Saccharomyces cerevisiae S288C: one gene and its partner. Changing the gene in region 1 together with any one later gene gives a genetic interaction. Each region holds a gene or a part of one and is shown in the gene's direction. Other genes may lie near its edges. The genes, in order: SPL2 and PHO90.

What was found.
Region 2: of SPL2 (region 1) and PHO90, changing one suppresses a phenotype caused by changing the other (phenotypic suppression), as found in Saccharomyces cerevisiae (one study listed by BioGRID).

The regions. Positions count from the first base shown.
Region 1 is NC_001140.6:374,154-384,819, reverse strand, and holds SPL2 (Spl2p), read left to right. Parts: upstream 1-9,719; coding exon 9,720-10,166; downstream 10,167-10,666. Other genes in the region: CHS7 (Chs7p), read right to left, coding at 332-1,282; 60S ribosomal protein eL42 RPL42B, read left to right, coding at 2,069-2,072, 2,514-2,830; YHR140W (uncharacterized protein), read right to left, coding at 3,529-4,248; YHR139C-A (uncharacterized protein), read left to right, coding at 4,401-4,712; SPS100 (Sps100p), read left to right, coding at 5,621-6,601; YHR138C (uncharacterized protein), read left to right, coding at 7,121-7,465; ARO9 (aromatic-amino-acid:2-oxoglutarate transaminase), read right to left, coding at 7,570-9,111; serine/threonine protein kinase YCK1, read left to right, coding at 10,510-10,666. UniProt on the Saccharomyces cerevisiae protein: Putative cyclin-dependent kinase (CDK) inhibitor necessary and sufficient for PHO pathway-dependent down-regulation of low-affinity phosphate transport.
Region 2 is NC_001142.9:54,882-67,718, forward strand, and holds PHO90 (SPX domain-containing inorganic phosphate transporter), read left to right. Parts: upstream 1-5,962; coding exon 5,963-8,608; downstream 8,609-12,837. Other genes in the region: ECM25 (Ecm25p), read left to right, coding at 1-1,297; aconitate hydratase ACO2, read right to left, coding at 1,563-3,932; MBB1 (Mbb1p), read right to left, coding at 4,975-5,301; putative ubiquitin-specific protease UBP12, read left to right, coding at 8,924-12,688. UniProt on the Saccharomyces cerevisiae protein: Low-affinity phosphate transporter involved in the control of cellular phosphate levels.

The DNA.
Region 1 (10,666 bases):
AACCCTCTCATGGAAAAGTAGTCATGAACATATGAGCGACTTTAAAACATTGGAAACAGATTAAGAAGTTTTGTTTTCAATTGACTAAAGAAGGATAATTTGTCATCTTACTTAATAAACTACGGGAACGACCATCACGTTTCTTTTATGGATATGGTTGTTTCCGCTGATAAAAGAAGTCACTACGCTGATTGACTGTCAAAGTGTACACAAGCCGTTAAAACGTGGAAACGGCTACTTTCACTCTTTGGTTTGTCATAGTCCTGCTTATTACATTAAACTAATAGTATACACCTATTTTCTATATATGGTAATAGAAAAAAGAAGCATTTCACATAAATCCATTATCATACACCACGTCACCGTCCTTGCTAACACTTACACCAAATTCCAAGTCGTCGTCGGTAGTCATATCCCAAGTCTTGTAAACCATCATTAATGTGAACACATTACAGATGCTTCCAAAAAAGAGGCCATCTAAGTAGTGCTTGAACCCTTCACAAATTTGTGTAGAGAAGGCATAAACCAATACCTGGCCTGCTACAAAGAAAAATAGCCCCAAAAAGATAGCTCCTGTGACCCATAAGTTTCGAACTACCAATAGGGATACCAGTAATTGACAAATAACGAAAACGAATAAGAAAATGGCGTTTATTATGTAAACGACGACAATCATCCCTGAAGCGTTCATTGTTGCTACTTTATGGTCGGTGATCCATGCTTTGAAGGTTAAAATAGAGGCTAAAAAATTGGCTATGAATCCTAGCATGGACGTTCCACGGACCAACAGCATGGACTTTGTAGTCCCATCTTCCCATAAATTGAAACCTAAAAACCCGATTATCAATAAGGCCCAGCAACATGCACCCGCCAGTCCTATTTGTATAGCCACGAAGTATGGATATGACCCAGAGCCGGGGGGAGATACACCACAGTCTACCACCAAGGTAAATATTATCAATAGCAATGTTAGTTGGAAAAAGTAGAGATATTCAGACCTGCCAATAGCAGTATACTTCTGTCTTATGTTATAAAGTATGATTAAAATGACACCTAGAGCACCAATATTTATGAATGCGTTCCCGACATCAAAGATGACTGTATTGGCAAGATCAATCGACCGAGCATAACAGCGTGGCAGTACACCGACATTCAAATTTAAAGGATCAAAATCATGTATAATTGTTGAGTTCGAAAGTATTAGATGGGTTTTAGACTTTATTACCGAACATAATGGCAACGGGGTCTTTGAGCATATGGCAGCAAAATCACTAAATGCCATATTATATATATATCAGCTTTTGTATTAACAAAACCACAATTTTTGATAATAGTTTTGATGAAATAAACTTTCCACGTGGAGACAGCTTTGAAAAAACAGTTCAAAGTATGCCAGTGTAGCTTTGACTTTTTTTAATCTTTTTAGTTAAGTTATGCAATATGCTATTTTTATACCAAAATGGATCCTTTTTGATTTCGTGTCTTGTGAAACTTTTTCAATATTTAACCGTTTTAAGAAAGCGAAGCGGGCAACACCAGAAGAATGTCAATAACTTACTGTAACAACATAAAACATGGCATTTTAAATAGTACTGCCAAAATTTAATGCAATGGCAATTAGTTGGCTATGTTGCTACATATTATTTTCCATAGCATTCTCTGTCACAAACTTCAAAATAAAAGACAGTGACATCCGAACATCCGATACACCCATACATCATGAAAATAAATCCTGACATTGGAAGAAGTCTTGATACAAAAAAAGATCGCTGTCAAAAATGCGGCCAGACTGCCGCTGCATCGTACCAACAGTGCGTATGTTCAGACGGAGAGACGACCTCTAGAGAGACGTCCGTCGGTGCGGCAACGCTGACGGTTTAGTTGTTCGACGGGATGATGGGTTCCGCCAGGGGGAGGGAAGGCTTTCCACCAAGAGAGGTAAAATTATTCGTCGAAATGAACTCAGAGATACATCCATATTGTTGACAATGTATATCTTAATTGATGTGGTATTTTCACTGTTTTAACGTAAATTGAAGGAGATTAAGCAAAAAAACAATCAGTAATAATGGGTATGTGGACGATTAGGAATAGACAAACCATGTTATTTATCTCCATTAGGGCGTGAGAGTGTAATTAGTACACAGGTACTACTAGAATGCTAAAGAACTTTTTAAAATATCCTGAATCGTAGGGCAAATCCATGTCAAGCAAGAAACTAATAGTTATTAAACTTCATTTACTTTTGAGCTAGTTAAATATTTTCATCATTTCCTAAAGTACTGAACACCTGAATGATACTTTTATTGGCCCTTTTAATAAGAACTCTGGTTAGAAAATATATTGAGGATATCATTAGTAATACTCATTAGATATTTGTGAATTTAGCCGTTTCCCCATTACAGAAAAAAGATACAACTAATTACATGTGCAGTCAAATTACTTTTTTTTTAAGATCAATTACTAACAATCAACTATCATGCTAAATTTGCTGTGATATCATTTTGAACCAGTTAACGTCCCAAAGACCAGAAAGACCTACTGTAAGGGTAAGACCTGTCGTAAGCACACTCAACACAAGGTTACTCAATACAAAGCTGGTAAGGCTTCCTTGTTCGCTCAAGGTAAGAGACGTTATGACCGTAAACAATCTGGTTTCGGTGGTCAAACCAAGCCTGTTTTCCACAAGAAAGCTAAGACTACCAAGAAGGTTGTTTTGAGATTGGAATGTGTCAAATGTAAGACTAGAGCCCAATTAACCTTGAAGAGATGTAAGCACTTCGAATTGGGTGGTGAAAAGAAGCAAAAGGGTCAAGCTTTGCAATTCTGAGAGTTGTTATTGTTTATTGTTTTATTATATTTTTATAGTTATACTTTGACCATTAACTTTTTGTAAATTTTGCATACTTAACTCTTTAATATTGAAAACCTGCCTATTTGGCGTAATTTTTCATCCTGCCTTTGAACCTGTTGTAAACGTTCGCGTTGGCAACCATGATAAGTTAACAAGACACGTAGGCGTTCGCACTAAAACACAGCATTGCTACTAAAGTACGTTACTAAGAACCAGTAAAAATAAATATGTATAAATAAAATGTAGATACAGCTGATTCCCAATATCTCATTTCAGAAATGATCAACACCAGGCGCCCAGCAACGTTCAATCTATCTACGCTTCAGTACTACTAAAAGTGGGAAAAACGTGGGCTTTTAGTCATTCCCTGCAATTTTAAGAAAACTGCATATACTAGTAGTACATTCGCGATATAATTATGATGTTGGCCTTTTTAAAACAAAAACCAAAAGGAATTTGATTATAACAAAACTAAAGAGGTGTGGAAAATTAATACAAACCTTCGACTTTTTATAGTGCGGTTCCTACACTTTTTTTTTTTCCCGCTTACCCTGGTGATTGATTTTTTGGGTTCCGTTGTAGGGCTAGCACGAAAATAAGAATTAAGTAGCAAAATTTGAGATTTGCTCACTTTACATACAAAGAGCTTAAATAGTAGTATACTAGTAGTAATGCTAATTCTTATCACCTTTCTTTGCCGACTTCTTGATGTATTTTGGCGGAAACTTTTGATAAAATACATAATAAGCCCACGTAATAGTAGCAACAACAACAAATATAATCGACTTGTACGGCTCGTTCACGTCTAGAAACGGGTATGGATAGGCTTGGCCTTGCCCCGCATCTATCAGGAATGCTAAATATTGAAAATATGAAAATGCTAAACTGGTTACAATGAGCCATGCATGCTTATTCGATAATTTGAATTTCGTGCCAGATCCCGATAAGTAGTGATCGGCTAGTAAATATAAAATAGGATATAAGTGGATTGCCATATCCACTGTCATAGGAAAAGGTGTCTTTGCAGTAGATTCAACTCCATGCATTATTAAGTTGACAAAAAACAATCTAAGCGGCCAATAAACGGTAGCAACAATAGATTCTAATACTAAAGAAACTGGCAAAGTGACATGTCTACTAATAAAGTCTGATTTTTTCTTGGTTTCTAGATTCATCTTATTGTTTCTTTGGATATAATAATTAGAAATGTTAACCGCGTTATTAATGATTGTTGCAATAATAGATATAATGGTTAGAAACTGTTTATGGCCTGCTTTACTTAAACTTGGAGGTAAGACTACAGATGTGGCCCTAACAAACCCCCAGGTGCTCGTCAAAAGACACGCGGTGTTAAGGGTCAAAGTAAAACGTGTTGGTACCAGACAAGACATCATGGATTCTCCTTGTATTATGGTTTTAAAATACGAGAAAAATTTGCTAAGAATACAGCAAGACTAGTGTAGAGATAATCACTGACATATAGAAAGTGACTTATATAATTCGAGAAAAAAGGGACTTATATACTTATCGGAGATCTTTTCATTAAATGCGAAGCGCAGACTTCTCTAATCCGCGGATCTTGTCAAATTTAATGAGCAAGTCTGAAAAGGAAAAGAGAGCGATCATTATTTTTAATTGTCGCTTAAACAAAGGATTATATGTCACTTCTGCATGCGTTTCACGCTCTGTTTTTAGATGCTGCAAACAGGAACCTCTTATAGAATTTGTATCCCCAAAAATGATAGCATTTGTTCAAATAGATGGACGCTATTTGACAAAAATGTTAACATGTGACATTCACGTCAGAAAAGAGGCCAAAGAAGGAAGAGGGTACCAGCAAATACATAAACTTTCCTAAGGAATAGGTTAAGTTCTTTTATTCTGCATGTGTGGATGCTTAAGGTCATTTTAACGAATGGGTCCATTAGCCCCGCGCCTTTTTCAGGTCAGCGAACGCTTATAATTCCAAGCCATCTCATGTTATCTCATTATTTTAATGTGAGCGAATATGCTTTTTTTTTTTCAATTGCTGCTATGAGATTATTGCTTCCATTACTAATGGTAGGGTTCAAGGAGGCTGAAAAACTGGATGGAAACGGAAATGAAAAATAAGGGGGAGGCGTAACGGTGGCAACGCTGCATAGTGAACAATTCATTACCTATTTATCATTTTTAGTTGGAATTTGGCCACCTTATGGCACATTTACCATTTGAGGGATCTGAAGATCAAGTCCGCCTTAAGGGTGCATATCATGCGTCATTTGTCTGCGTTAAGGTGCAGACGCTTCCCTTGAAAATCGCCGAAAGAAGCTAAGCCGAAGTGACACGGGCCTTTTCCTGCGTCAAAAGAAGCCGATGATCTACCAGAAAAAGATCATTCAACAGTTAAGGGCTACAGTAGTTCTCAGCGAATACCGGCTGATGTACAGAAGCGAATTCCTGTTGGGGAATCTCACTGTACCCTTCAAATATGTAATGTTAGAGTAGCAAAAGTTCTTGGCTTAGCAATTACATTTAACGCTGATGATCCTCGGTTTATGAGCAGAAAATAGGGAAAAACGTGTACAAATGATTCTCTCAGAATGTGCAACTAGCATCCCCTTTTAGAAATGCCTTGTTGAAAATTCCCCTAAGACGTTACTCATTAGAATACTATAAAAATTGGGAGGAAAGCTAAAAACACTTTTGGTTTCTCTTGTTCCTATCAATCATGCTCTAGTATTTGATTTCGATCAGTTTTCACATCTAAGAACCCAATCAGCTATTATGAAATTCACATCAGTGCTAGCATTTTTTCTTGCAACTTTAACAGCTTCTGCAACACCACTTTACAAGAGGCAGAACGTTACTTCTGGCGGCGGTACGGTCCCCGTGATCATCACGGGTGGACCTGCTGTATCTGGTAGCCAGTCAAACGTTACTACCACAACGCTATTCAACTCTACTTCCACCTTAAACATCACTCAACTTTACCAAATTGCTACTCAAGTTAATCAGACTTTACAAAGCGAATCGTCTTCCGGCATTATAATCGTCACAAACTGGCGTTCCATTGAAACTTTGAGTTTCTTCTGCTCAATCGTTTTTAATACATCAAAGACCATTGTCATTACTGAGAATTTCTTATGGGGTGTACCAATATTGAGTAGTTCGGACGCGGAAGGTAGAGGCACTTTGGTTGCCGGTAGAGATAAAGTTGTGTATTCTGGTGTTTTCCCTCCTTACACTGTTCCTGTGGGCGTTTTGTCTGGTCAGAAGAATGTTCAATGGTTCTTTGATGCCTGTGAGCCAACTCTGATTGCCAGCAACTCCACAATCAGAACTCAATACTCGAATTTTACGAGCGCACAAATATCTTCTAATGCCTCCTCCGGGACCAATACATCCTCATCATCCTCCAGTCCATTGGTTCCAATTATATACGAAGAAGGATATTCTCAAAGCTTAATTCAATCACTAAGTTCTAGTATCCAAGGTTTGGTTGTTGTCAGCTCTGGTACAAGTCACAACAGTACCGTGGCATCATGGACATCGGTCGACTTCCCTGTCGTTTATGCAAGTGATGGATCCAGTGGTCATGATGGTTCAGGAATTGGGTTCATAAGTAACACAAGTATTCCACAAGGTGCAATTTCTGCTGGGTACTTGTCACCAATCCAAGCGCAAACTTTGTTGTCTATTGCTATCCATAATCAAGTCACAAGTAGTAGCGAGTTACAACAAATCTTCCCTGTTAGTCAACAATAAGATGATTATGTGTTGTGTACTACGAAAATAAGCAAAAAATAAATAAAATAAAAACAAAAACAAAAACAAAAACAAAAACAAAAACAAAAACAAAAACACATATTGTTATGATGACTGGACGAAAGAAAGATCGTCGTTACTTTCCTAATTGTTTGTCTTCAGTACAGTTATTATCAGTGTTCTCTTTCTTTTTTATTGTACTATGTGATGTTACTGATACATCACGCGCTTCCTTTATGTTTTCTTTTTTTATGTTCGTTACAGGATTTATAGTTTTTACAGTATATTGACTTCAATAATTTCTAATATTCAGTTCCTATTAAATTTGATTATTCCGATTAGATCGGTCGGCGCTACCAAAAAGAGGCGAAGAAAAGAGGAAAACGCAAGTGGATAAAGGGGTGGGGGGCAAAAGTATTTAAGAAAAAGCGATGCGATGGAGAGAACAAATGGATAAGTTGCGTTTCCTCGTTATATTACAACATTTAAATCTATTGTGTAACAGACTATAGCATATATATGAAGGCCAGTTACTTAGTTTTGATTTTCATTAGCATATTCTCCATGGCACAGGCATCTTCCTTATCATCATACATCGTAACTTTCCCCAAGACGGATAATATGGCTACGGACCAGAATAGCATTATTGAAGATGTCAAAAAATATGTGGTGGACATAGGGGGTAAAATAACACACGAATATAGCTTGATAAAGGGCTTTACAGTGGACTTACCTGATAGCGACCAAATTTTGGACGGTCTGAAAGAACGTTTGAGCTATATTGAAAGCGAGTACGGTGCTAAATGCAATTTGGAAAAGGATTCAGAAGTTCATGCTCTAAACCGTGACCATTTAGTTGCTTAGAGTAATTTAAAATATACGCGACTATAACTTTTTCCCAACTTTTATACAAAAAACTACAATTTATATATGATATGCAAATAACACATAGGTTTAATCTTCACTGTTCAACTTTTATAGTTGTCAAAAAATTCTTTTATGCCACTACCGATTCTTTTGGAAGCTTCAATCAACTGATCATCATCCCTTGCATAGGCGATGGTGAGTCTTAGAAAATCTGAATTCTGCTTTGAATAATTTGGGCAAACAGCCATTTTATAACCAAGCACTACTTTAACACCATTCTTCAGCAAGAACTTATCTAAAATATCCATCTGTTGCGGCAAATCGTCAGGTCTATCGAAATTCCCCCAATTGATTTTAATAATGATGAACATACCCGCGGAGGGTTCCATAACGGTAAACTGACCAGCTTGGTAAGATTCTGTTTCGTATAAGGCTTTCAAAGTAAGATTTTTCCTATGATTGTATTTAGAAGCAATCTGCATTATCCATCTTATCCAACCCTCAAACATTGCTTCTTTCATAGAAAGAGAGGACGATAAGTTGGACTCAGCCATTGCCTTTATTGTAGAATAAACAATAGCTTGTGAGGTACCACTGGGGGCCCTTGTAGTAATGTCGGCCAAATCCAAGATTTTTTGCAAAAGGAATTTATTAGCAACGATGAAGGATAACCTTAATCCAGGAGCAAAAATTTTAGAAAAAGTCTCCAAACGGATGACACGGGCATCTGTATCCAAAGTCAAGAATGATTTCATTAAAAAATCATTCAAATACCGTTCAGTAGTCAGGTCGCTAGAATGGTAAGGGTTTTCTAATGGCTCTTGCGGATTATAGGAAGGAAAGTACAGATAACCGTAGGGATCATCTTCAACAATGAGGAAATCGTGTCTTTGGGCCAACTGGTAAATTTTCTCTCTTTTCCACTGGGGGACAGACATCCCGGTAGGATTTTGGCCCGTTGCAATGGTATATAGGACCCTTGGCTTGTTTAAGTCTTTGTATGGTCCAGTTGACCAATTATCGAGCAACTGCGTTAGATATTCGACATCAATACCCTGGGACTCTCTGTCGAAGGTCAGGTTCATCTTGATGGGGATGACTTTTGCTCCTGTAGCCTCCACATTGGACATAGCCGGGGTGAAAGTAAACTCTTCAATCATCACAGTGGTCGATTCGTCGCAAATTGTTTCAAAAACCTTAAACATTGAATCGTTGGACCCGCCAGAAAGGATGACATCCCAGTTAGACTCCGTCTCATCGGAAAAGGCTGGGCGATTAATTCTGGACACAAAATCTTTAACAAAATGTAAGAGAGGGGGTAAACCCTTGGTTTCTGCATATTGGAAAGAACGTGCAATGGGTAGCTCACTGGGGGATCCCAAGTCCAAATGCGCCGTGGTAAACGAATTATGCCATTTTGGGTTATCATTAAAAGGAACTTTTGATATTTTCAAATCCATAGATTCGATAGGAAAAAATCTCTCGTTTGGCATTCCACCAGCTAGCTCAATGACGTCATCTGAGATATCAGAAGCATCCCAAAAGCTTTTCAGAGATCTATTTTCTACTCTTCTGGAGAGAAACGGTTGGAAGTTCTTCTTTAAGGAAGTGTAATCAACAGGGGGGGCAGAACCAGCAGTCATTGAGTCGATGAGAGAGTGTAATTGTGGTATGTGTGTATTTTTATGTTTACACTGGGATATTACAAGACCAAATCAAGCTTTTTCCTTTATATATATCAAATATTTATAATGTTTCCTACCCCAATGATGGTTCGGTTATCCGCGGCAAATCTCGGTAAGCATCGGCAATGCTTCCGCGAGTTACCGCTTTTTTTTTTTTATTCCTTTGTTATTATCTACGGCCGTCGGCGGCAATAGTATTTTTGCTCACGTGACCGACAAGGGTCCATTTTATTGCGGTACGGCTCTCTCTTTTTTTTTTTCTCCTCTTCAACTTCTCTCTGATTGCAAACAATATATAACATAACCATGTTCATTACGTACGAAAATATATATACATAAATGCATGGCAGTTATGGCAATTACAACTACAACGCCGTAAAGTTCCAAACGCAGCGGCCTGAGATAGTAAATGATGTACGCACGTGGGCGAAAGTTCATTACTTTGACTGTTGTAACATACCGTATCTCTCTTTTCCCACGTGCTCCGCTCTCTTATCTACCTTGGCGGTACAGCCCTGCGCGGAGTCACTGCAGCCACGTGCCTAGATCTATTACTATGACTTCCCATGGGCACATATACGCCATTAATATACAATATATATAACGTTCATATATGGGTATTTACAGAGAGCCAGGGGCAAATTGGACAGATGTCTCCACGCGGCAAAATGGAAACAGCAGTTTCACAAGGACAACACAAACAACTTAAAGATGGTCACCAGCATAAGGGAAGAAAACTCTCCGAGGAGATCGCTTCTCTATTGAGGCTCAAAGAGTGCAGGAGGCTCAATCCTGCTAGTTACTATACTCCACGTAGAACATCGCAGTCACAATCTCTCAGTGGATCAACTTTTAAAGAGTATAACGAGTACATTAATGAGAAAGATTCAAGTAGAGCGCAGCGTCAAAACGCTGCCGCCGTTTTAAGCAAGCTCGCCCATGACTTTTGGGAGAACGACTGTGTCATTGACGAAGACATATTCGAAGATTCGTCTGACGAAGAACAATCATGATTGCATCTCTTAATCGTTACACATACATACCTTCTACCTCTGTACTGTTACATATGCATTGACTTTACGATCTAATATAAATCCTTTTGATGTTACCCCGCCTGTGGGCTCGTTCTCCTTTCGTTTCTTACGATTTTTTCGCCGGAACAAGAAAAAACAGAACAAAACAAATCAGCGATCGTATACATGGGTCTTTGATTTCTGCTTGCTTCTTACAAACAACAAACGCAAACCGTTCATTGAGTGCTCTGTGACTGGTTTTCATGTGGATGCCATAGTAGAGAAAAGACACATACAAAAATTTCGCGCATTCGCTGGCCCTTTTCCTGCTCTCCTCTTCCCCATGTCCATGCCCATAGCAAGTACCACTCTAGCAGTTAACAACCTCACCAATATAAACGGAAACGCAAATTTTAACGTACAAGCAAACAAACAACTCCACCACCAGGCTGTCGACTCGCCCGCAAGATCTTCGATGACCGCCACGACCGCCGCCAACT
Region 2 (12,837 bases), on another chromosome or scaffold:
GATACGCGAACATATAAATGTCCCGGAGGAATATTATAACAGATTGACCCCTCTGGCAATAAGACAGTATAGGCAGTTAGTATTCGATAAAATTTTCAAGAAATTACAGAATGACGCTCTGTTGTGTGAATTGATATTCCAGAAGCCGGGAAACTATAAAAAGGTAAACATTTTTTTGGATATTATCAAAAGAAACAACTACATTGATTTATCTCAATGGGATATTTATTCTTTGGCATCCGTGTGGTTGAATTACTTCATTAAGAATAAAGCCAAACCTCTAATCCCAATTGAATTAATTCCGTTACCAATTGTTGATGATCTAAAGTTCACAAGTGAAACATTCCGCAAAATTATTAAATTCAACCAATACCAGGACCTCTTTATGGTCATAATTCCTTTTTTTAATAGGATCATAGCGCATGGTGAATCGACTAAACATGATTCAAGGACCCTAAGTAAAGCTTTAACTCCGGCGTTATGTAAGGAAAAACTTTCCATGATGACTAATGATCGTTTAGCTATTGGGTCGAGATATATTAAAAATTTACTGGACTTTTTCCCCGAAATCGCGAAGGAAATATCATCACCTCCTTCATCCGTATCATCGTCTTCTACTATCCCTGTTTTGCCTAAGCCAAGGAAGTCGTCGCCAACCAGATACAGTGAACTAGGCTGCTTAACCCTTCCTAGAAGTCGAAGCCCTAGTCCACAAAGATCTGTTACGTCTCCAACGTACACACCTGTCGCATTACAAAATACACCAGTCTTGAAACCTAAGTCTTCAAGCAGAAATGTTTCATCCCCATCATTCAATGCCAAACCTCCACTTCCTATTAAGGCAGTTACACGACCACAACTGTCTCTAACTTCCAATTCTAATACAGATTTGGCATTAGCTTCTTCTTCTACAGATACATTATCCTCACCGACGAAGACTCCATCAGCAGACTCGCTTCCATTGAGTAACAGCAGCACCGATTTAACGATATCAGATAATATCAAAGAAATGGTTAAGGACGAGCCAGCAAAGGATAAAAATTCTGTGGAAACAGATATATTCGTACAACAGTTTGAAAGTTTAACCCTCGTCCAAAACGCGAAGATTAAGAAGTTCGACAAAGAACTACAAGAAAAGAAGAAGAAAAATGAAACTACTTCAAAGACAGCAGATAAATTCTCTCAAAAGGGATATTCAGATATTAAAGCAAGCAACAAGGTTAGCAGGCTAGCTGCATTGTACGAAGAACGTTTACAAGGTTTACAAGTAATGAATGAAATGAAACAAAGGTGGTAACTTACATAATTGTATCTTTTTAACACATACATATTGCATATACGACAACAAAATACCCCCCACCCTTGAGTTAAGCCGTAGTTGAAGCAGTCGAGATCTCGTGTATAATATTATATATCAAACAATATTACGTTTTTTATAGTAAATAAATAAATAAATAGGTAGGTTATTTGCACCGTCTATATGCAGAGTCTATAGAATTGTGTAAACTAGCTTATGACTATTAAATCGGACTCTTAATTTTTAGCTAATATCTCTTCAGAATTTATTCGTTTCTTCGTATATTACCAATATAATTGATTGCTGAACCAGCTTTGAAAAAATCGATTTGATCTTTAGACATAGTATGTTTTGCCTTGATGGTGAACGATTCACCGTTTGGTTTAGTAATTTTAACATCAATTTCACCACCGTTATTACCATCCTTAGCAATCATGTCAACTAGGTTCAACGTTTCTAAAACATCTCCGCTTGATATTTTATCATAGTCAGATTCGTTGGCAAAAGTCAATGGCAACACACCTTGTTTCTTCAAGTTTGTCTCATGAATTCTTGCAAAAGACTTAACTAAAAGAATCTCTCCGCCTAAAAATCTTGGTGACAAAGCAGCATGCTCTCTTGCGGAACCTTCACCATAGTTATGTTCCGCTATCACGGTCCATGGTCTACCGTCTGATTTCCATTTCATCATCAAACCAGGAATATCATATTCAGTTCCGTCAAGGTCATAAGCCTTGTTGACTTCACCGGTTTCTTTGTTTTGTGCACCAATCAATGTATTGTAAGAAATGTTTTCTAGATGGCCTTTATATTTCAACCAGACGCCCGCAGCGGAAATATGATCTGTTGTACATTTACCTTCAACTTTCAAAAGCACGTTTGTCTTCAATTCCTTCCCGTTCCAAGGTTTGAATGGCTCTAATAATTGCAAACGATCAGAATTAGGGTCTACCTTAATCTCTACATTGCTATCTGGCTTTGGATCCATTTCAGGATAAAATTTGTCTCTACCGTGTTCAAATCCTCTTTTTGGTAACTCATCACCCTTTGGTGGTTGGAATTTGAAATCCTTCCCATTTGGCAATTTAATTGAGTCAGTTAGCGGATTGAACTGAGCATCTCCAGAATAACTCATCGCTGTTACTATTTCTGGGGATGTTAAGAAATTCATTGTATTCCTATTACCATCGTTTCTAGCTCTGAAATTTCTATTGAATGATGTAAAAATAGTGTTCGTTTCTTTTGATGTTTTCGAGACATCTTCCCTATTCCATTGTCCGATACAAGGGCCGCATGCATTTGCTAAAACTTTGGCACCATTTTCTTGGAAAATATCGATGATTCCATCTCTTTCCAAGGTAGCTCTAATTTGTTCTGAACCAGGGGTGACAAAGAAGGGGATACGTGGTTTCAAGCCGGCTTTGGAAGCTTGCTTGACCAAGTCGACAACACGACTCATGTCTTGATAAGATGAATTGGTACATGATCCAATCAAACCAGCGCTAACTTTTTGGGGCCAGTTTTCCTTCAAACTTTTTTCGGCATATTGAGATATTGGGGTTGAAAGGTCTGGTGTAAATGGACCATTAACGTGAGGTTCAATTGCGGATAAGTCAATTTCAATAACTTTATCGTATTGAGCATCTTTGTCGGCTCTTAAGAAGTTAAACTTGTTTAAAGCAACATCAGCTGCTTCAGCGACCTCTGCTCTATTAGTTGCTTGCAAATAACGCTTGTGAGCTTCTTGGTAAGGGAAAGTTGACGTTGTAGCACCGATTTCAGCTCCCATATTACAGATGGTTGCCATACCTGTGCAAGATAGAGTGGATACACCTTCGCCGAAGTACTCGACGATATAACCAGTACCACCTCTGACAGTTAGTAAACCAGCGAGCTTTGTGATTACATCTTTAGGAGTGGACCATCCGTTTAACTTTCCGGTCAATTTAACACCTAAAATTTTTGGTGCTTTTAATTCCCATGGAGTGCCTGTGAGGGCATCAACTGCATCCGCACCACCAACCCCGATGGCAATAGCTCCCAGACCGCCTGCATTTGGTGTATGGGAATCAGTACCTAGCATCATTAGACCTGGAGCTGAGAAATTTTCCAAAACAATCTGGTGAATGATACCAGAACCTGGGCCCCAGAATTGAATTCCATATCTCTTTGCGCAACTCTCCAAGAAATCGAAAACTTCTTGGTTGGTAGCTATGGAAGAGGGTAAATCTTTAGTTTCACCGTCCTTACCTACAATTAAATGATCACAATGTATGGATGCTGGGACAGATGTTTGATTTAGACCGGTGGTCATGAATTGTAGAAGCGCCATTTGGGCAGAAGCGTCCTGCATAGCTACACGGTCTGGGTTTAGCTTCAAGTATTTATTACCACGGATGGTGGACAGATCAGAAGAAGTAATCGATTCTTCAGGATCGCAAAGATGCGAGTATAAAATTTTTTCTGCTAGTGTCAATGGAGCATTGTTTGTTATTTGTTTAATCTTGTCTAGGTTGGTCAAAAGTTTTGCATAAGGTGGCACTTTTGTTTGAAAATTTTTAGATACAGAGGGGAACATATTGGCATGTGTTGCCAAATGCCTCTTTATATAAAACCTATTAGCTGAAGATAGCATCGAATCTCTTGCTTATTGCTCTTAGAGTTTTATGTTTAAAGAAAGTCGAAAATTCTTATTTTTGCAAGTGCGCAAATCGAATAATACGAAAAGATGAAAATATTTTAGTTTATATACATGTTTGATGCCATACCATCTATTGACATAATCTACGATGTGAGAGCTGTATGATATTGTGGAACTTTGTATATATTGAAAAAATTTTCCAGTGGAATTTTACTCGCGATGACTCAAGAGCGTGAAAAAAAAAAAAAAAAAAAAATTAATTGCTAAAAAATCAAATATATGCTTCCAATCGGATTTGAACCGATGATCTCCACATTACTAGTGTGGCGCCTTACCAACTTGGCCATAGAAGCTTCTATTTTATATTTGCCTGACCTATTTTAACGGTTATATTCCACAAACATTTTAATCATGAAGCAATTTTTTTGATGTTGATGTGAGAGTAATAAGCACTGTGCTGAGAAGAGGATCAACAACATGATATTCTACGGAACGTAAAGGATACAATGTTATTGGACTAAGAATCGTCTATCATCTTAAGAAATGGGTGGATGATCGGACAATTATTGAGAAGGTTTCATTGTGGAGAACAAATCGCAATATTGTGCAATCCTTTAGATATGTCAAGATAAAATACTAGGGAGGCTTCGCCCATTCATTAAAGAGTATAGCTACCGCATACTGTTTAGTAGTATACTATCACATGTGGTGTAAAAAGATAACATAAAGATTGAGAATCAGTCATCAAATGTAATGGAAGCTGAAAATGCAAGGATTGATAGTGTAATAGGAACGAAACATATGAAAACGGAATGAGGAATAGTCGTATTATTAGTATGTATAGATTCCATTTGAGAATTCTTATATCCTCGAGGGGAACTTCTAGTATATTCTGTATACATAATATTGTAGCCTCTATCAACAACGGAATCCCAACAATTATCTCAAAACTCACTTATATCTCACAAAACACTCAATAGCGACCCTTAAATGTTACTGAACCTCATATTGTTTCGCTCTGCTCCCTTATATATTGTTAATGCAATCGGGACAGCTCACTGACTGAACGGTGAATAGTGGCTCCCGGAAAGCTGAGAGTTGTGAACTCGCCACCTCTGTTAAGTAAGTCGTAAGCTGTTAAAGCTGCGTCACGAGTAATGAGCTGCCAGTTCGGCCTCTGATCGCTGTACTTTATGGTAAAAAGATAGTTCCTAGTAGAAGACGAGTCATACTCGTAAACAAGCACCGCTGGATACTCTTCTCTATCAAGACGTAAAGCGTACTTGTAATCTCTAAGTTCGCCAATCCAAATTTCTGATATGCCACTCATTATCCTCACCCCACATGCTGACACCTTATACATTCAATATCTCCCTTCTCCTACTTAACCTTATGTTACCCTTTTTTTTTGGCTTGCATTTATATTTGGTTTACATAGCAACAACCGATAGCGGGTAACAGCATTAAGCTTCCCATCTCCCGTTCACTGTTATTACCTTTGGCACGTAAAGGGCCGGCTAATAATGTCGTATTTCCACTGATTTGGATGTATGTTGCATGGTGCTAGATTGTGAATAAATCATTTCCACTGGTTTCTAGCAGAGGTAAGAAAATCAGTAGTAGCGGCAGCAGCCAAGAAAAATGGCAGCCTGGCAAGCAGCGAAGGCCATCTGTGCTGCATTTCCACACTCCTTGTATGACTGCATACGCATAAAGAGGTGCCTTGCTGTAGGCGTATATGATCCTAAGCAACAGAGAAACCACGGTTCTCTTCTCTTCTTATTTCGTTATTGTCTTCCCTTTTTACTATGGGTAAAGTCGCCCTAAAGCGGGGCGCTCACAATATCGCCGCAGCTACAGCCGTTTTTTTTTTTTTTGTTTTTTTTTGCGCTGCTTCTCGAAGAATGAATGGCTCACTGAAAAATTTTGATTCATCGATATAAAGAACACTGTTCACTTCGATGTCATCCGGCCAATAAAGTTGTTTTTAGGATAAACGAGTAAGTGGTAGCTGGTACAGGATCATGAGATTTTCACACTTCTTGAAGTACAATGCTGTCCCAGAATGGCAAAACCATTATATGGACTACAGCGAGCTGAAAAATCTTATTTACACGCTACAAACAGATGAACTTCAGGTTGGTGATAACGAAGAAGGATTTGGCGCAGGAAAGAGCTCTAACATTACAGATAGGTTCAAAAACAAGTTTTCTTTTAAAAATGCGAAGGAAGATACGTCTTCCGGTATGAACAAAGATGCAGGCATCGTTGAGGAAACCATCGAGTTGCGAGAGTTGCCTACTGCTCAGACGGTCGCTGCCAAACCTTCTCCTTTCAGAAGAATGAAGGAAAAGATATTTTACAAAAGAAGGTCGTCTTCCGCATCGTCCGTCTCCTCCACGGCCAACGAAAATCTGCAATTAGACACTTATGATACGTTTGTTGGTGATTTAACAGCTGAAAAACAGAAAGTAGATGATTTTTATAAGAGGACAGAAGCGAAGTTCTACGACAAATTTGACGCGCTGGTGAAGGACCTGAAGAAAATCGGAGTTATAGAATACGATATCGACGATGATACTCTGTTTAACGAACCGATTGCCAGCACAAATGACGAAGTTCCCCCACTAGACTTGGATGATGACGAAGACGACGACGAATTTTACGATGATCAATCTAATATTGAAGATAATACTGCTTTGCTGCATCATTCGCAGTATAACATTAAGTCTCAGAAAAAATCGCTGTTGAAGAAGTCGATCGTAAACCTATATATCGATCTTTGCCAGTTGAAGTCGTTCATCGAATTGAACCGCATTGGGTTTGCAAAAATTACAAAGAAATCAGACAAAGTTCTTCACTTGAATACAAGAACCGAACTGATCGAATCGGAGCAGTTTTTCAAAGACACATATGCATTCCAGGCAGAAACGATCGAATTGCTAAATTCCAAAATTTCCCAGCTAGTCACATTTTATGCGCGCATCACTGACCGGCCTCATAATATCTCGCATAGCAAGCAAGAGTTGAAATCCTACCTGCATGACCACATTGTTTGGGAAAGAAGTAACACTTGGAAAGACATGTTGGGACTGCTATCGCAAGCTGACGAGTTGACACCAAAGGAAACAGAATATAATGCAAATAAGCTGGTAGGCAAGTTAGATTTGGAATACTACAGATGGCCACTACCCAGACCGATAAACTTAAAATTCACTAGTATAAACAACGTTGCACTACCGAAATTATTTTTCACCAAGAAAGCATACAAGATTTACTTTATTATTCTAGTCACTGGACTCTTGTTAGGAATAAAGACCTTCAACGACGCTGCTCAGCACCGCTGCATGGCCCTTGTCGAGTGTGTCGCCTTTTTGTGGGCTAGTGAGGCCATCCCATTACACATTACAGCATTCCTTGTACCACTACTTGTAGTCCTTTTCAAAGTCCTAAAAACCTCCGACGGGGCTATAATGAGTGCTGCAAGCGCTTCATCAGAAATTTTGGCCGCCATGTGGTCTTCTACAATTATGATTCTGCTGGCAGGTTTTACTTTGGGTGAAGTACTTGCACAATATAACATCGCCAAAGTTCTTGCCTCGTGGTTGTTGGCCTTCGCTGGTTGTAAACCCAGAAACGTTCTTTTAATGGCAATGTGTGTCGTGTTCTTCCTATCAATGTGGATTTCCAATGTCGCAGCACCTGTTCTAACATATTCGTTGTTATCTCCCCTATTGGATGCCATGGATGCAGATAGCCCATTTGCGCAAGCATTGGTGTTAGGTGTAGCGTTGGCTGCAAATATCGGTGGTATGTCTTCACCAATCTCTTCACCTCAAAACATCATTTCCATGTCGTACTTGAAACCCTATGGTATTGGCTGGGGCCAATTCTTTGCTGTTGCATTGCCATCTGGTATCCTGGCCATGCTTTTGGTTTGGATTTTATTGTTCACTACTTTCAAGATGAATAAGACCAAATTGGAAAAATTTAAGCCTATTAAGACGAAATTCACAGTTAAGCAGTATTATATCATTACTGTCACTGTGGCCACTATTTTGTTGTGGTGTGTGGAAAGCCAGATTGAAGGTGCTTTTGGGTCATCAGGTCAAATTGCAATCATTCCCATCGTTTTGTTTTTTGGTACCGGATTACTATCAACACAAGATTTAAATGCCTTTCCGTGGTCAATCGTTATTTTGGCAATGGGAGGTATTGCTTTGGGGAAGGCCGTCTCATCCTCGGGTTTGCTATCAACCATTGCAAAAGCATTACAAAAGAAAATTGAGAATGATGGTGTTTTTGCCATTCTATGTATTTTCGGTATCCTGATGTTGGTTGTGGGTACTTTCGTCTCGCATACAGTATCCGCTATTATCATCATTCCCTTGGTGCAAGAAGTTGGTGACAAGCTTGGCAACCCCAAAGCTGCTCCTATCCTTGTTTTCGGTTGTGCATTATTGTCATCCTGTGGTATGGGACTAGCTTCTTCGGGGTTCCCCAATGTCACTGCCATCTCTAAAGTAGATAGAAAGGGCGATCGCTATTTAAGTGTCATGACTTTCTTAACGAGAGGTGTTCCAGCTTCTATTTTGGCTTTCCTATGTGTCATTACTCTAGGTTATGGTATCATGGCATCTGTTGTCAAGGGTAACGCAACCTCTGCGTAAGAGATACGTCTACGATAGCATGTAACAGCGTATATATAATCTATATGTATTCGATTAATCCAACACTTCTGTTGTGTAGTCTAATGTTCGAAAAAAAGGTACGCTTCCCTGTTATAATCAGGTATATTTCGTTATTCTTATAAGCTAAAAGATTAAAAATTTTTCCACTTTCCTTGAAATTTGGTCGGTTCGTGGAAAAATATTATTACGTATTGAAGAAGTGCATGAAGATAAAAGATGGGATTACTGGAAAAATAAAGGGAGGAAAATCCTGCAGAACGTTGTTGTTTCAATCGAAGGTTTCTTCATTCGAAAATGGGTTCTTCAGATGTTTCAAGTCGTGAATGTTCATTGGTTTATAATGAAGATCCCGATTTCACCGATGGCACAACACCATGTGATCGGTTGGGAGTGGACTTGATGAATGTTCTAGATGACAAGGATGAAATAAAGCAAGAGTCTGTCCCAGTCTCAGATCGTGAAATTGAGGATACGGAATCCGATGCTTCCGCTGTTTCTTCATTTGCTAGCGCTAATGAGTTAATAGCTGAGCCACACGCTGCAAGTGAAACTAATCTTGGAACTAATGGTCAAGATGGAAGAAATGTCTTAGAACAACAAAGAGACGTGGTTGCTAGACTAATAGAAGAAAACAAGGAAACGCAAAAAGAGGGTGATAAAGTCTGTATTGTCCCCAAGGTTTGGTACGATAAATTTTTCGACCCCGATGTTACCGATCCTGAAGATATAGGCCCTATTAATACACGCATGATTTGCAGAGACTTTGAAAATTTTGTGCTTGAGGATTACAATAGATGTCCGTATCTGTCTATTGCAGAGCCTGTTTTCAATTTTCTATCAGAAATTTACGGCATGACAAGTGGCTCTTACCCAGTGGTAACTAATTTGGTTATCAACCAAACCACAGGGGAGTTAGAGACAGAATACAATAAATGGTTTTTCAGACTACATTACCTGACCGAAAAACAAGACGGGAGGAAAAGGAGGCATGGCCAGGACGATTCAATAATGTACCTCTCGATGTCTGCGTTGAATTTAGTACGTGATTTGGTTGAAAAGAGTATGAATCTGTTTTTTGAGAAAGCTGATCATCTAGACGTGAATGCGGTGGATTTTAAAATTTGGTTTGTGTCAGAGGGATCTGATATTGCCACAGATAGCAATGTTAGTACTTTTTTGAATTCTTCATATGAAATAACTCCGCTTCAATTTCTCGAACTACCGATAAAGAAACTACTAATACCAGACATGTTTGAAAACCGTTTAGACAAGATAACTTCAAATCCGAGTGACCTTGTCATAGAAATTAAACCTATAGAAGGGAATCACCATTGGCCTTCAAACTATTTTGCTTATAATAAACTCGAACCAGCATCAGGTACTACTGGTTTGGTCAATTTGGGAAATACATGTTACATGAATTCTGCGTTGCAATGCCTGGTACACATTCCGCAGTTGCGTGATTATTTCCTTTATGATGGTTATGAAGACGAAATCAATGAAGAAAATCCTCTTGGGTACCACGGCTATGTGGCTAGGGCATTTAGTGACTTGGTTCAGAAGTTGTTTCAAAACAGGATGAGCATAATGCAAAGAAATGCTGCTTTCCCCCCTTCAATGTTCAAATCCACTATCGGGCACTTTAATTCGATGTTTTCTGGTTATATGCAACAGGATTCTCAAGAATTTTTAGCCTTCCTGTTAGACAGTTTACATGAAGATTTGAACAGGATAATAAAGAAAGAATACACAGAAAAACCATCATTATCTCCTGGTGATGACGTGAATGATTGGAATGTAGTCAAGAAACTGGCAGACGATACTTGGGAGATGCATTTAAAGAGAAATTGTTCCGTTATAACGGATTTATTTGTCGGGATGTACAAATCAACGCTATATTGTCCCGAATGTCAAAATGTTTCTATAACGTTTGACCCGTATAATGATGTTACATTGCCGCTTCCGGTTGATACAGTGTGGGATAAAACTATAAAAATTTTTCCCATGAACTCTCCACCACTTCTTCTTGAAGTTGAGTTAAGCAAATCGTCCACTTATATGGACTTGAAGAATTATGTTGGTAAAATGTCGGGCCTAGATCCAAATACACTATTTGGCTGTGAGATTTTCAGTAATCAAATCTATGTTAACTATGAGTCAACAGAGTCGAATGCTCAATTTTTAACCTTGCAGGAATTGATCAAACCTGCTGATGACGTTATTTTTTATGAATTACCAGTAACAAATGACAATGAAGTAATTGTTCCCGTATTGAATACTAGAATTGAAAAAGGCTACAAAAATGCAATGTTATTTGGAGTCCCTTTCTTTATTACGTTAAAAGAAGATGAATTGAATAATCCAGGTGCAATAAGAATGAAATTGCAAAACAGGTTTGTCCATTTAAGTGGTGGGTATATCCCATTTCCTGAACCTGTAGGAAATCGAACCGATTTTGCTGATGCTTTTCCATTATTAGTAGAAAAATATCCAGATGTTGAATTTGAACAATATAAAGATATACTACAGTATACGTCTATTAAGGTGACTGACAAGGATAAATCCTTTTTTTCCATCAAGATTCTGTCTGTAGAAAAAGAGCAGCAATTTGCTAGTAATAACCGAACAGGGCCTAATTTCTGGACCCCTATCTCCCAGTTAAACCTTGACAAAGCTACAGATATAGACGATAAACTTGAAGATGTGGTGAAGGATATCTACAATTATTCATCCTTAGTAGATTGTGCTGAAGGGGTCCTTATGCAAGTGGATGATGAGGGAGATACCGAGGGTAGTGAAGCAAAGAATTTTTCCAAGCCCTTCCAATCGGGAGATGATGAAGAAAATAAAGAAACTGTAACAAATAATGAAAATGTAAATAATACTAATGATCGGGATGAAGATATGGAACTAACAGATGATGTTGAAGAAGATGCAAGTACAGAGCCAGAATTAACAGATAAGCCAGAGGCGTTAGATAAAATTAAGGATAGCTTGACTTCCACTCCGTTTGCGATTCTTTCTATGAATGATATTATTGTTTGTGAGTGGAGCGAATTGGGTTCAAATGAGGCATTTTCCGATGATAAAATATATAACTGGGAAAATCCAGCTACTTTGCCTAACAAAGAGTTGGAGAACGCTAAGTTGGAAAGATCTAACGCTAAGGAAAGAACCATAACCTTGGACGATTGTCTCCAATTATTTTCCAAACCAGAAATACTAGGATTAACCGATTCGTGGTACTGCCCTACATGCAAGGAACATCGTCAGGCTACCAAACAAATACAACTTTGGAATACACCAGATATTCTGCTAATTCACCTTAAAAGGTTTGAAAGTCAAAGGTCTTTTAGCGATAAAATTGATGCCACGGTTAATTTCCCCATTACAGATTTGGATCTGTCGAGGTACGTTGTCTATAAAGATGATCCCAGAGGTTTAATCTATGACCTGTATGCAGTAGATAACCACTATGGTGGTTTGGGTGGTGGGCACTATACCGCGTACGTAAAGAATTTTGCCGACAATAAATGGTACTATTTTGATGATTCTCGAGTAACTGAAACTGCGCCAGAAAATAGTATAGCTGGATCGGCTTATTTGCTATTTTACATTCGCCGTCATAAAGATGGCAATGGATTAGGCAGCTCTAAACTACAGGAAATAATCCAAAAGTCACGCCACGGATATGATGAGCGTATCAAAAAGATATACGATGAACAGATGAAGTTGTATGAATTTAATAAGACTGACGAGGAGGAAGATGTTTCTGATGATATGATAGAATGTAATGAAGATGTGCAGGCCCCTGAATATAGTAATCGTAGTTTGGAGGTTGGGCATATTGAAACTCAGGACTGCAACGACGAAGATGACAATGATGATGGTGAGAGGACAAATTCAGGTAGGAGAAAGTTAAGATTGTTGAAAAAAGTCTACAAGAATAATTCAGGCTTGGGTTCATCGAGTACGTCTGAAATATCTGAGGGATGCCCAGAAAACGAAGTCGCTGATTTGAATTTAAAAAATGGTGTGACACTAGAATCGCCAGAATAATGACATGAGTTTATATGATAGATAAAATTAATAAATTTCCACATGTATAATACTTTTCAATCTTTTTCGCCTACTATTTACTGCCTAGGCTAATAAATTATATGTTTTTGTCCTGGGCGCGACATTCCAAAAAAAAAATAAAAAAGAAG